Macaca mulatta: one gene and its partner. The protein of the gene in region 1 purifies or fractionates together with the protein of each later gene. This does not show direct contact. Links are inferred from orthologs where the notes say so. Each region holds a gene or a part of one and is shown in the gene's direction. Other genes may lie near its edges.

What was found. Proteins that work in one complex are often made in the same cells at the same time.
Region 2: the proteins of FBXW11 (region 1) and MAP1S purify together in Homo sapiens (affinity purification with mass spectrometry; 4 studies listed by BioGRID and IntAct, with this or other methods). This does not show direct contact. The link is inferred for Macaca mulatta from reciprocal best matches to the Homo sapiens genes FBXW11 and MAP1S.

Annotation. Positions count from the first base shown.
Region 1 is NC_133411.1:180,721,708-180,726,035, reverse strand, and holds part of FBXW11 (F-box/WD repeat-containing protein 11), read left to right. Parts: intron 1-1,268; coding exon 1,269-1,518; intron 1,519-3,944; coding exon 3,945-4,063; intron 4,064-4,328.
Region 2 is NC_133424.1:18,221,128-18,225,455, forward strand, and holds part of MAP1S (microtubule-associated protein 1S), read left to right. Parts: intron 1-2,493; coding exon 2,494-2,576; intron 2,577-3,415; coding exon 3,416-3,556; coding exon of another isoform or gene 3,557-3,670; exon of another isoform or gene 3,671-3,782; coding exon of another isoform or gene 3,783-4,124; intron 4,125-4,216; coding exon of another isoform or gene 4,217-4,246; coding exon 4,247-4,328. UniProt on the Homo sapiens protein: Microtubule-associated protein that mediates aggregation of mitochondria resulting in cell death and genomic destruction (MAGD). Plays a role in anchoring the microtubule organizing center to the centrosomes. Binds to DNA. Plays a role in apoptosis.

The DNA of each region.
Region 1 (4,328 bases):
GGAGACACTCACTTCCAGGAGTCACTCCCGGACTCTTTCACCACCCCTGCCTAAAGCATCACCACCCCTGCCTGAAGCATCACCACCCCTGCCTGAAGCATCGCCACCCCTGCCTGAAGCATCACCACCCCTGCCTGAAGCATCACCACCCCTGCTTGAAGCACGCCTGGTATCCTCTCCTGGACTCAGTGCTTCCGTACCACTGCTTCTGCCAGAGATCATGTCTCAGCCTCAGAGGCCTGAGTCTTTTCCCCTCTGCCCTGTGTGAACTTGTCCTCTTAGGAGATGAGGGTTACAGAAAAGCCATGATGTGGAAGTGCTGCCCCCAAATCCCTGGACATACAAAGCAGTTGGGAGACCCTGGCTTTGTCCATAAAGCAGCTGAGTAAAGAAGTGGATGTGGTGATTGATGAGGCATCATGACTTACCCAGTTTGCAGTGGATAAATAATAGACTCAGAGGTCTGCCAGAGGTCAACAAGAACTGTAAGCTTGGAACCATTCTCAGTTCTTCAGCCAACAAGGCTCCTTCTTCCTTTTATCTCAGACTCAATACAAAATCTGCTTTCTTGAGGAATTGTCTTTTGCCATCAGCATGAGCCTGCAGACACCGTCCCTGAATACCTGACTGCTAAATACACCTAAACTCGAGCAGAGCCAGAATTAGCCACCTTTTCTGAAACCATCTCAGCACTTCTCAACAAATAAAGAAATTGCTTTTTAGGGGCACCTTTTAATCATGCCCTTAGGTTCATTAAGAATGGACCCTGTCTTAGTCTATTTGTGTTGCTATAAATGAATACCCGAGGCTGGGTAATTTATAAAAGAAAAGGGGTTTATTTGACTCATGGTTCTGCAGGCTCTGCAAGAAGCATGGTACCAGCATCTGCTTCTGATGAAGGCTTCGAGCTACTTCTCCTCATGGCAGAAGGCAAAGGCGAGCCAGTGTATGCAGATTACATGTGAGAGAGAAGCAAGAGAGAGGGCGGAGCTGCTAGGCTCTTGTCAACAGCCAGTTCTCTCAGAACTAAGAGTGAACTCCCTCCTATGAGAATGGCACCAAGTCATTCGTGAGGGATCCACCGCCATGACCCAGACACCTCCTGTCAGTCCCCACTTCCAACCCTGAGGATCAGTTTCAACATGAGATTTGGTAGAGTCAGACAAACCATATCCAAGCCATTGCAGACCCAGACAGAACTCAGATGCCAGAATCATTTCCTGGCTGTCTCCGTAATTAAGCATCATGCTTTTTCTCTTCTCTCCTAGGGTGTGGGATGTGAACACGGGTGAAGTTCTTAACACATTGATCCACCACAATGAGGCCGTACTGCACTTACGCTTCAGCAATGGACTGATGGTGACGTGTTCCAAGGACCGCTCCATTGCTGTGTGGGACATGGCTTCTGCGACCGATATCACTTTACGCCGTGTCCTGGTTGGCCACCGGGCTGCTGTCAATGTAGTAGACTTTGACGACAAGTACATTGTGTCCGCCTCTGGTGACAGGACCATCAAAGTAAGTATGTCTGCAGTCATAACCCAGCCTCCTCCTGTCCCTTTTAGAACAGAGAGAAAGCAGAGGTGGCTTATACCAACCTGGTACCTGGTAAGATCTTTATTCTCCTCTGTGCTTAGTGTAATGTTTTCAAGGTTCATCCATGTGCTTTGTAGCATCTATCAGCTTTGTCCCATTTTTGTTGTTGTTGTTGTTGTTGTTGTTTTAAGTACAGATGGGGTCTTGCTATATTGCCCAGACTAGTCTTGAACTCCTGGGCTCAAGCATTCCTCGGCCTTCCAAAGTGTTGGGATTAGAAGCATGAGCCACCACACCCAGCCAGTACTTTGTTGTTTCCAGTGGCTGAATAACATTTCATTGTTCTTCTGTTTATTAGTTGATAGACATTTTAGTTGTTTCTATTTTTTCGGCTATTACAGATGATGCTGCTATAAATATTAGTGTAGAAGTTTTCATGTTTTTAATTTTCTTAGGATGGTAACCCTCTGTTTAACTTTTTTTTTTTTTTTGAAGACAGATCTAACTCTGTCACCCAGGCTGGAGTGCAGTGACACAGTCATGGTTCACTTCAGCCTTGACCTCCTGGGCTCAAGCCGTCCCTCAGCTCAGGGACCCCTGAGGCTCCCACCTAAGCCTCCTGGCGTAGCTGGGAGTACAGGCACTACCAGGCCCGCCCCCCTGCCCATTTTTTTTTTGTAGAGACCAGGTCTCACTTTGTTGCCCAGGCTTGTGGAACTGCCAAAGTGTTTTCCAAAGGCACTGCACCGTTTTACAGTCCTGCCAGTGGTATGTGGGGGTTTCAGCTTGCGCAAAGAACATCCTTTTCATGACCAGCACTGGAAAGCATTCTTACACCTAGCCCCACAAATCACAAAGTGTGTAGCATCAGGCTTTAGACTGGATAGTTGGGAAGCTAAACAACTAGGATTTATATGTGGCAACTTACTCCCACAGTCACACCAATTGGTATGAGACCAGTGCCTGAAAGTTGAGAGGGTCTGAGCTTTATTACAAAACAGCTGTTTCATAATACCAGCATGGAGGATTTCTCCATATCCTCGCCAACACTTGCTGTTATTTGTCTCTTTTCTTTTATCTGCCCTAGTGAGTGTGCAATGGTATCTCTGGTTTTGCTTTGCATTCCCTTATTACTGATGATGCTGAACAACTTGTTGTATGCTTATTGACCATTTGTGTACTTTCTCTGGAGAAATGTCTATAAATCCTTTGCCCACTTTAAAAATTGATAATTTGTCTTTTTATTGTTGAGTTATAAGTTCTTTATATATTCTGGACACAAGCCCCTTATGAGATACATGATTTGAAAATATTTTCTCCCTTTCTGTAGGTTGCCTTTTCACTTTTTTGATGGTATCCTTTGATGCACAAATGATTTTAATTTTGATGATGTTCAATTTATCAAGACGTGCCTAGGTCCTTGATCCATTTTGAGTTAGATTTTTGTTTAAGGTATGAGGTAGATGTCCAATGCCATTCTTTTACATGTGGAGATATATTTATCTATCCCATTCAGCTGCAAATGCAGCTGTTAAGATAATTCAGGGCACTCTGGTTGCTGTGTGTCTCCTTATTTGTCTAATAATACATTGAGATGTCTATGAACATCTAAGTCTTTCAGATGATATCACAAAAGAGGGGATTATTTATTCTACATACATACAATTAGAAGTAATGTGTCAAAACAAATGGAGCTGTTCAAGAAAATATGCTGGAAAAGAGGATTATATGAAAGATGAAACTTTTTGTTTGTTTTTTGAGACAAAGTCTCGCTTTGTCACCCAAGCTGGAGTACAGTGGCACAAACACGGCTCACTGCAGCCTCAACCTGCTGGGCTCAAGTGATCTTTGCACCTCAGCCCCCTAAATAGCTGGGACCACAGATGTACACTACCACGCCCAGCTAGTTTTATTTTTTGTAGTGATGAGGTTTTACTACGTTGCCCAGGCTGGTCTCAAACTCCTGAGCTCAAGCAATTCTCCCGCCTCAGCCTCCCGAAATGCTAGGATTAGGTGTGAGCCACTGTACCCAGCTGGAAGCTTTTTTATTACATTAGCTTCATTGGGTTTGACATGTCAGCTGGTGTAAAAACATAAAATCTGGCCCAAACTCTTTCCTCCAGGTAAATGAATATCCAAACCATCTAGGAGATGTTCTCTTTGTAAAGATCTCAACGACTGGAGACTTCACTTCCCTCCGTGTTTCATTCCAGTGTTATTACTCAGCAGCCAAAGAAAATGTTATGCTGTCTAGTCTGCCCTCTAGCCTCCCAACTTTGAGTTAGAGGACACTGTATTTTATAATCACATATTTGGGTCATTCTCAGAAGCTGTCTTTTTAAGAAAGGTATATTGTGGGAGGACTTTTCCACATTCATTCTTTAAAATATTGTTAATTTGTTATACAGGTCTGGAGCACGAGCACCTGTGAATTTGTCCGTACTCTCAATGGGCACAAGCGAGGCATTGCCTGTCTCCAGTACAGGGATCGGCTGGTTGTTAGTGGATCATCAGATAATACCATTAGGTGGGTAGAAGTTGGTGTGCTGACAGAGCAGGCTGATTCTTGCCACGTTGTTGACTCATCTCCTAGTTCTAATGCTCAAAACAACTCAGAGTAAATGGGATGTTTCAGATAAGAAAGCTTTAGGTAACTTTTAGAAATGTATTTGGCTCTGTATACTCAAGTGGGAAAACCGTGTATGCCCTGGGTGGTCTTCCAGTGTTCCCCCAGTACATAAAGTTTTTTAACCTCAACTCCACCCAGGATCACTTAATATCAGAGCACTTCA
Region 2 (4,328 bases), on another chromosome or scaffold:
CTGCCCCCTGCTCTTGATGGTCTCTTGAGTCACCTCCCAGCGGCTGCTGGAGAGGAAGGAAGTGTCCGTCATCTCATTGTCCCAGTGGGTCCTTGTGGCTTCCTGACACTTCATGGAGCAGAAAGTGGAGCTGGAAATCCTGTCTGCTGTGTGCGACCTTTGTGGCCGCTTCCCCTCTCTATGCCTTGATTTCCCCACCTGAATGGGGCAATATCCGTGTGTGGCAAAAAGCGTGCTAAGGCTGGGTGGGGTGGCTCTCGCCTGTAATCCCAACACTTTGGGAGGTCAAGGTGGGAGGACTGTTTGAGGTCAGGAGTTTAAAACCAGCCAGGGCAACATGGCGAAACCCTGTCTCTACTGATAATACAAAAACAAGGTGGGCCTGGTGGTGCATGCCTGTAGTCCCAGCTACTCAGGAGCCCGAGGAGGGAGGATCGCTTGAACCCAGGAGGCAGAGGCTCCTGTGAGCTAAGATTTGTGCCACTGCACTTCAGTCTGGGCAACAGAGCGAGACCCTGTCTCAAAAAATAAAGTTAGACCTGGCACGGTGGCTCACGCCTGTAATCCCAGAACTTTGGAAGGCTGAAGTGGGTGGATCACCTGAGGTCAGGAGTTCGAGACCAGCCTGACCAGTATGGTGAAACTCCGTCTCTACTAAAAATACAAAAATTAGCCAGGTGTGGTGGCAAGCGCCTATAACCCCAGCTACTTGGGAGGCTGAGGCTGGAGAATTGCTTGAACTCAGGAGGCGGAGGTTGCAGTGAGCCGAGATCACGCCACTACACTTCAGCCTGGGCAATAGAGGGAGACTCCATCTAAAAAAAAATGAGAGAGAGAGGGAGGGAGGGGGAGAGAGAGGGAGGGAGAGAAAGAGAAAGCTCAATGTGATAGAGGTGAGAGAGAGAGAAAGAGAGAGAAAAGGGAAAAGAAGGAAAGAAAGCAAGCTAAATGTGATAAGGGCTGGCAATACCAGAGGGTCTTTGCCTCTCCAGACTCAGCCTTGTTTACAGTTCAGTCCTGCCTCAGGGCCTTGGCTCGTGCTGTACCCTGGTCCGAGTTGGCCCTCACTGGCCCTCCCCTGGCTCTGGTTCCTTGCCAGCCTTCTCTCAGTACGGATGTTTAAAACACAGATAGGCCCTGGGGGACAGAGCAGGGTCAGGATCCCAGAAACAGTCCCACTTCAGCCCAGGCCCTTATGCTGCCCCACCCCTAGCTGAGTCCTGCCTCAGGGCCTTTGCTCCGGATATACCCTGGTCCAGGATTGCCCTCATTGGCCCTCCTCGAGCTCTGGCTCTGTCTAAAAAATAAATGTGGGCCGGGCGCGGTGGCTCAAGCCTGTAATCCCAGCACTTTGGGAGGCCGAGACGGGCGGATCACGAGGTCAGGAGATCGAGACCGTCTGGCTAACACGGTGAAACCCCGTCTCTATTAAGAAATACAAAAAACTAGCCGGGCGAGGTGGCGGGCGCCTGTAGTCCCAGCTACTTGGGAGGCTGAGGCCGGAGAATGGCGTGAACCCGAGAGGCGGAGCTTACAGTGAGCTGAGATCCGGCCACTGCACTCCACCCTGGGCGACAGAGCGAGACTCCGTCTCAAAAAAATAAAATAAAATAAAAAAATAATAAATGTGGCTGGGCGGGTGCAGTGGATCAATCTTGTAATCCCAGCACTGTGGGAGGACGAGGCAAGCGGATCACCTGAGGTCAGGAGTTTGAGACCAGCCTGACCCACATGGTAAAACCCCGTCTCTACTAAGAATTCAAAAAATGAGTGGGGCGTGGTGGCGTGTGCCTGTAATCCCAGCTACTTGGGAGGCTGAGGCAGGAGAATTGCTTGAACCCAGGAGGCGGAGGTTTCAGTGAGCTGAGGTTGTGCCATTGCCTGGGCAACAAGAGCAAAACTCCGCCTCAAAAAAAAAAACAAAAAAAAAGAAGGGCTGGGCACAGTGGCTTACGCCTGTAATCCCAGCACTTTGGGACTTTGGGAGGCCAAGGTGGGCGGATCACCGGGTCAGGAGATCGAGACCATCCTGGCTAACACGGTGAAACCCCGTCTCTACTAAAAATACAAAAAATTAGCTGGATGTGGTGGCGGGGACCTGTAGTCTCAGCTACTCGGGAGGCTGAGGCAGGAGAATGGCATGAACCTGGGAGGAAGAGCGGAGCTTGCAGTGAGCTGAGATTGCACCACTGCACTCCAGCTTCCACTGCACAGAGCAAGACTCCGTCTCAAAAAAAAAAAAAGGAGTGTAACGGTGGCATCACCCACAGGGGTGACAGCTGCAAACCAGGCCCTGCTCATGATGGGGCCCTCTGGTTACTGCCTCTCTTAGGCCAGCCAGGGTGGTTGAGTTTCTCTTTCTTGCCTGGTTCTCTGCCGTGCGCCTCTTAATCTCCGTATGTTCCCTGGGTGGGTTCCCAGAGGGGTTCGTGTTCCCTGAGGGTCACACGGGGAGGCAGGATTTGACTCCAGGATGGCCTGATTCCCCCACAGGCCAGCGGAGCCTGCACCACCGTGGAGACAGCCTGGAGACCCTGGTCCTCCTGAACCCATCAGACAAGTCCCTGTGTGATGAGGTAGGGAATGGCTGACATCCTGGAGGGGGCGGGCTGCTGGGACCCATGCCGTCTCTGTCTTCCTGTCTCGTGTCCTTGTCTTCATGCTGCCCCAGATCCTCTCGAGACACCCGGCACCACACTTCCTCGCCCACGAAGCCTTCCCCGTGGCTCCAGCCTCTGCTTCTTCCCTCCTCTGGGGTGGGAGCAGAAAAGCCTGGGTTTGGGAGGGAGGGAGTAAGCACTCCCAGCCTAGGGCCCAGGACAGCGTGGGTCTGGAGCCCGGAAGGCCAGAGCAGACTGAGGTTTGCGTCCCGTGGGTTCCCTCCGGCTAGGCCCCAGGAGTTGTCTGAATTGACTCACTAATACTAAACGGCTTGTGGCCATCTGTATTCCACCAATTATACATCAGGAAGATGACCCAGACAGAGCCCTGGGGCATCCCACTGCACACTTTCTTACAGGTTGATTCCTTGGATCAGAACTTTTCCCTTTTATTCCCTTGAGGAACTCTCAGTCTTTAGGAGACAGAGCGAGACACAGACGCCCCCAGCCCTGTGGCATCAGGGCTGGGCTGGAGGGAGAGGTGGACTAGAGAGAGCCCAGAAAGGGCAGTGAGTGCCTTTAGAAGGAAGGGACATCAGAGTTGGGCTTTGTAAGATGAATAGGAGTTTGCTAGAGTTGCTCCAGGGCCCAGCAAGAGACCTGGAGACTGCCCTCATAGCTAGTTGAGCACTGGGCTGGCTGTGGGGTGAGGGCAGGAGAGGGGTGGTTATGTATCAACTTGAGGCCACCCCAAAGAGGACTGCTGGATACGTCACTGCACAGAACGGGGCCTTTAGTGCTCACCCCTCCCTCAGCTCCGGAACCTTCTGTTGGACCCTGCCTCTCACAAGCTACTGGTGTTGGCTGGGCCCTGCCTGGAGGAGACAGGGGAGCTGCTGCTACAGACAGGGGGCTTTTCGCCTCACCACTTCCTCCAGGTCCTGAAGGACAGAGAGGTAAGCCACCCCTTTGCCATCCCCCACTTTCCCAGCTCAATCCTGGCTTGTCTGCATCGGGCTGTGTGGCCCCAGCGACCTGCTGTTTTCCATGACCTGGTCTCCCCCTCCTCTGTAGGGTGGCAGTGGTGACACGTGCCTCCTGGCTGTCCAGGGTTAGTCCCATTGCCCGGAAAGGGTGTGGTGTGAGCTGGGTCTGTAGAGCAGCTGATGTCCCAAAGTCCTGATGTGGGATGGAGCCAAATGGGTCTTTCTGGTGCCCACAGTCTGGGCAGGACACGTGGGCAAAAGTCTCTGGCAAACCACATTTTCACACTGGAGTGGGGCACTTAAAAGTGATGAGAAAAGGTTCAGTAGACAGAGGTGGGCCGTGGAGGGTCTCCTTGGAGGAAGCTGTGCCCTGGGAGGAGAGAACGGTGAGTGTAAAGGCCCTGGGGCAGGGAGGCATTTGACGGGGAAGGAGAGGCAGGAGGTGAGGCCAGACCAGAGAGCCTCCTGGCGCTGGAGAGGGTTGGGTTTTGGCGGGAGGGTGCTGAGGAGCAGGCCTCGGGGTGGGGGAAGGCTGAGGGTATCCTCGCCCAGGTTTCCCACTGGGCTGGGTGTTGCCACGGTGGTCCCTTACCATTCCCCCTCTAGGTGGTTCCTTCCCACTAGCTTTAGGTGGTCCCTTACCACTCCCCCTCCATACAGATCCGGGACATCCTGGCCACCACGCCCTCACCTGCGCAGCCGCCCATACTCACCATCACCTGCCCCACCTTTGGTGACTGGG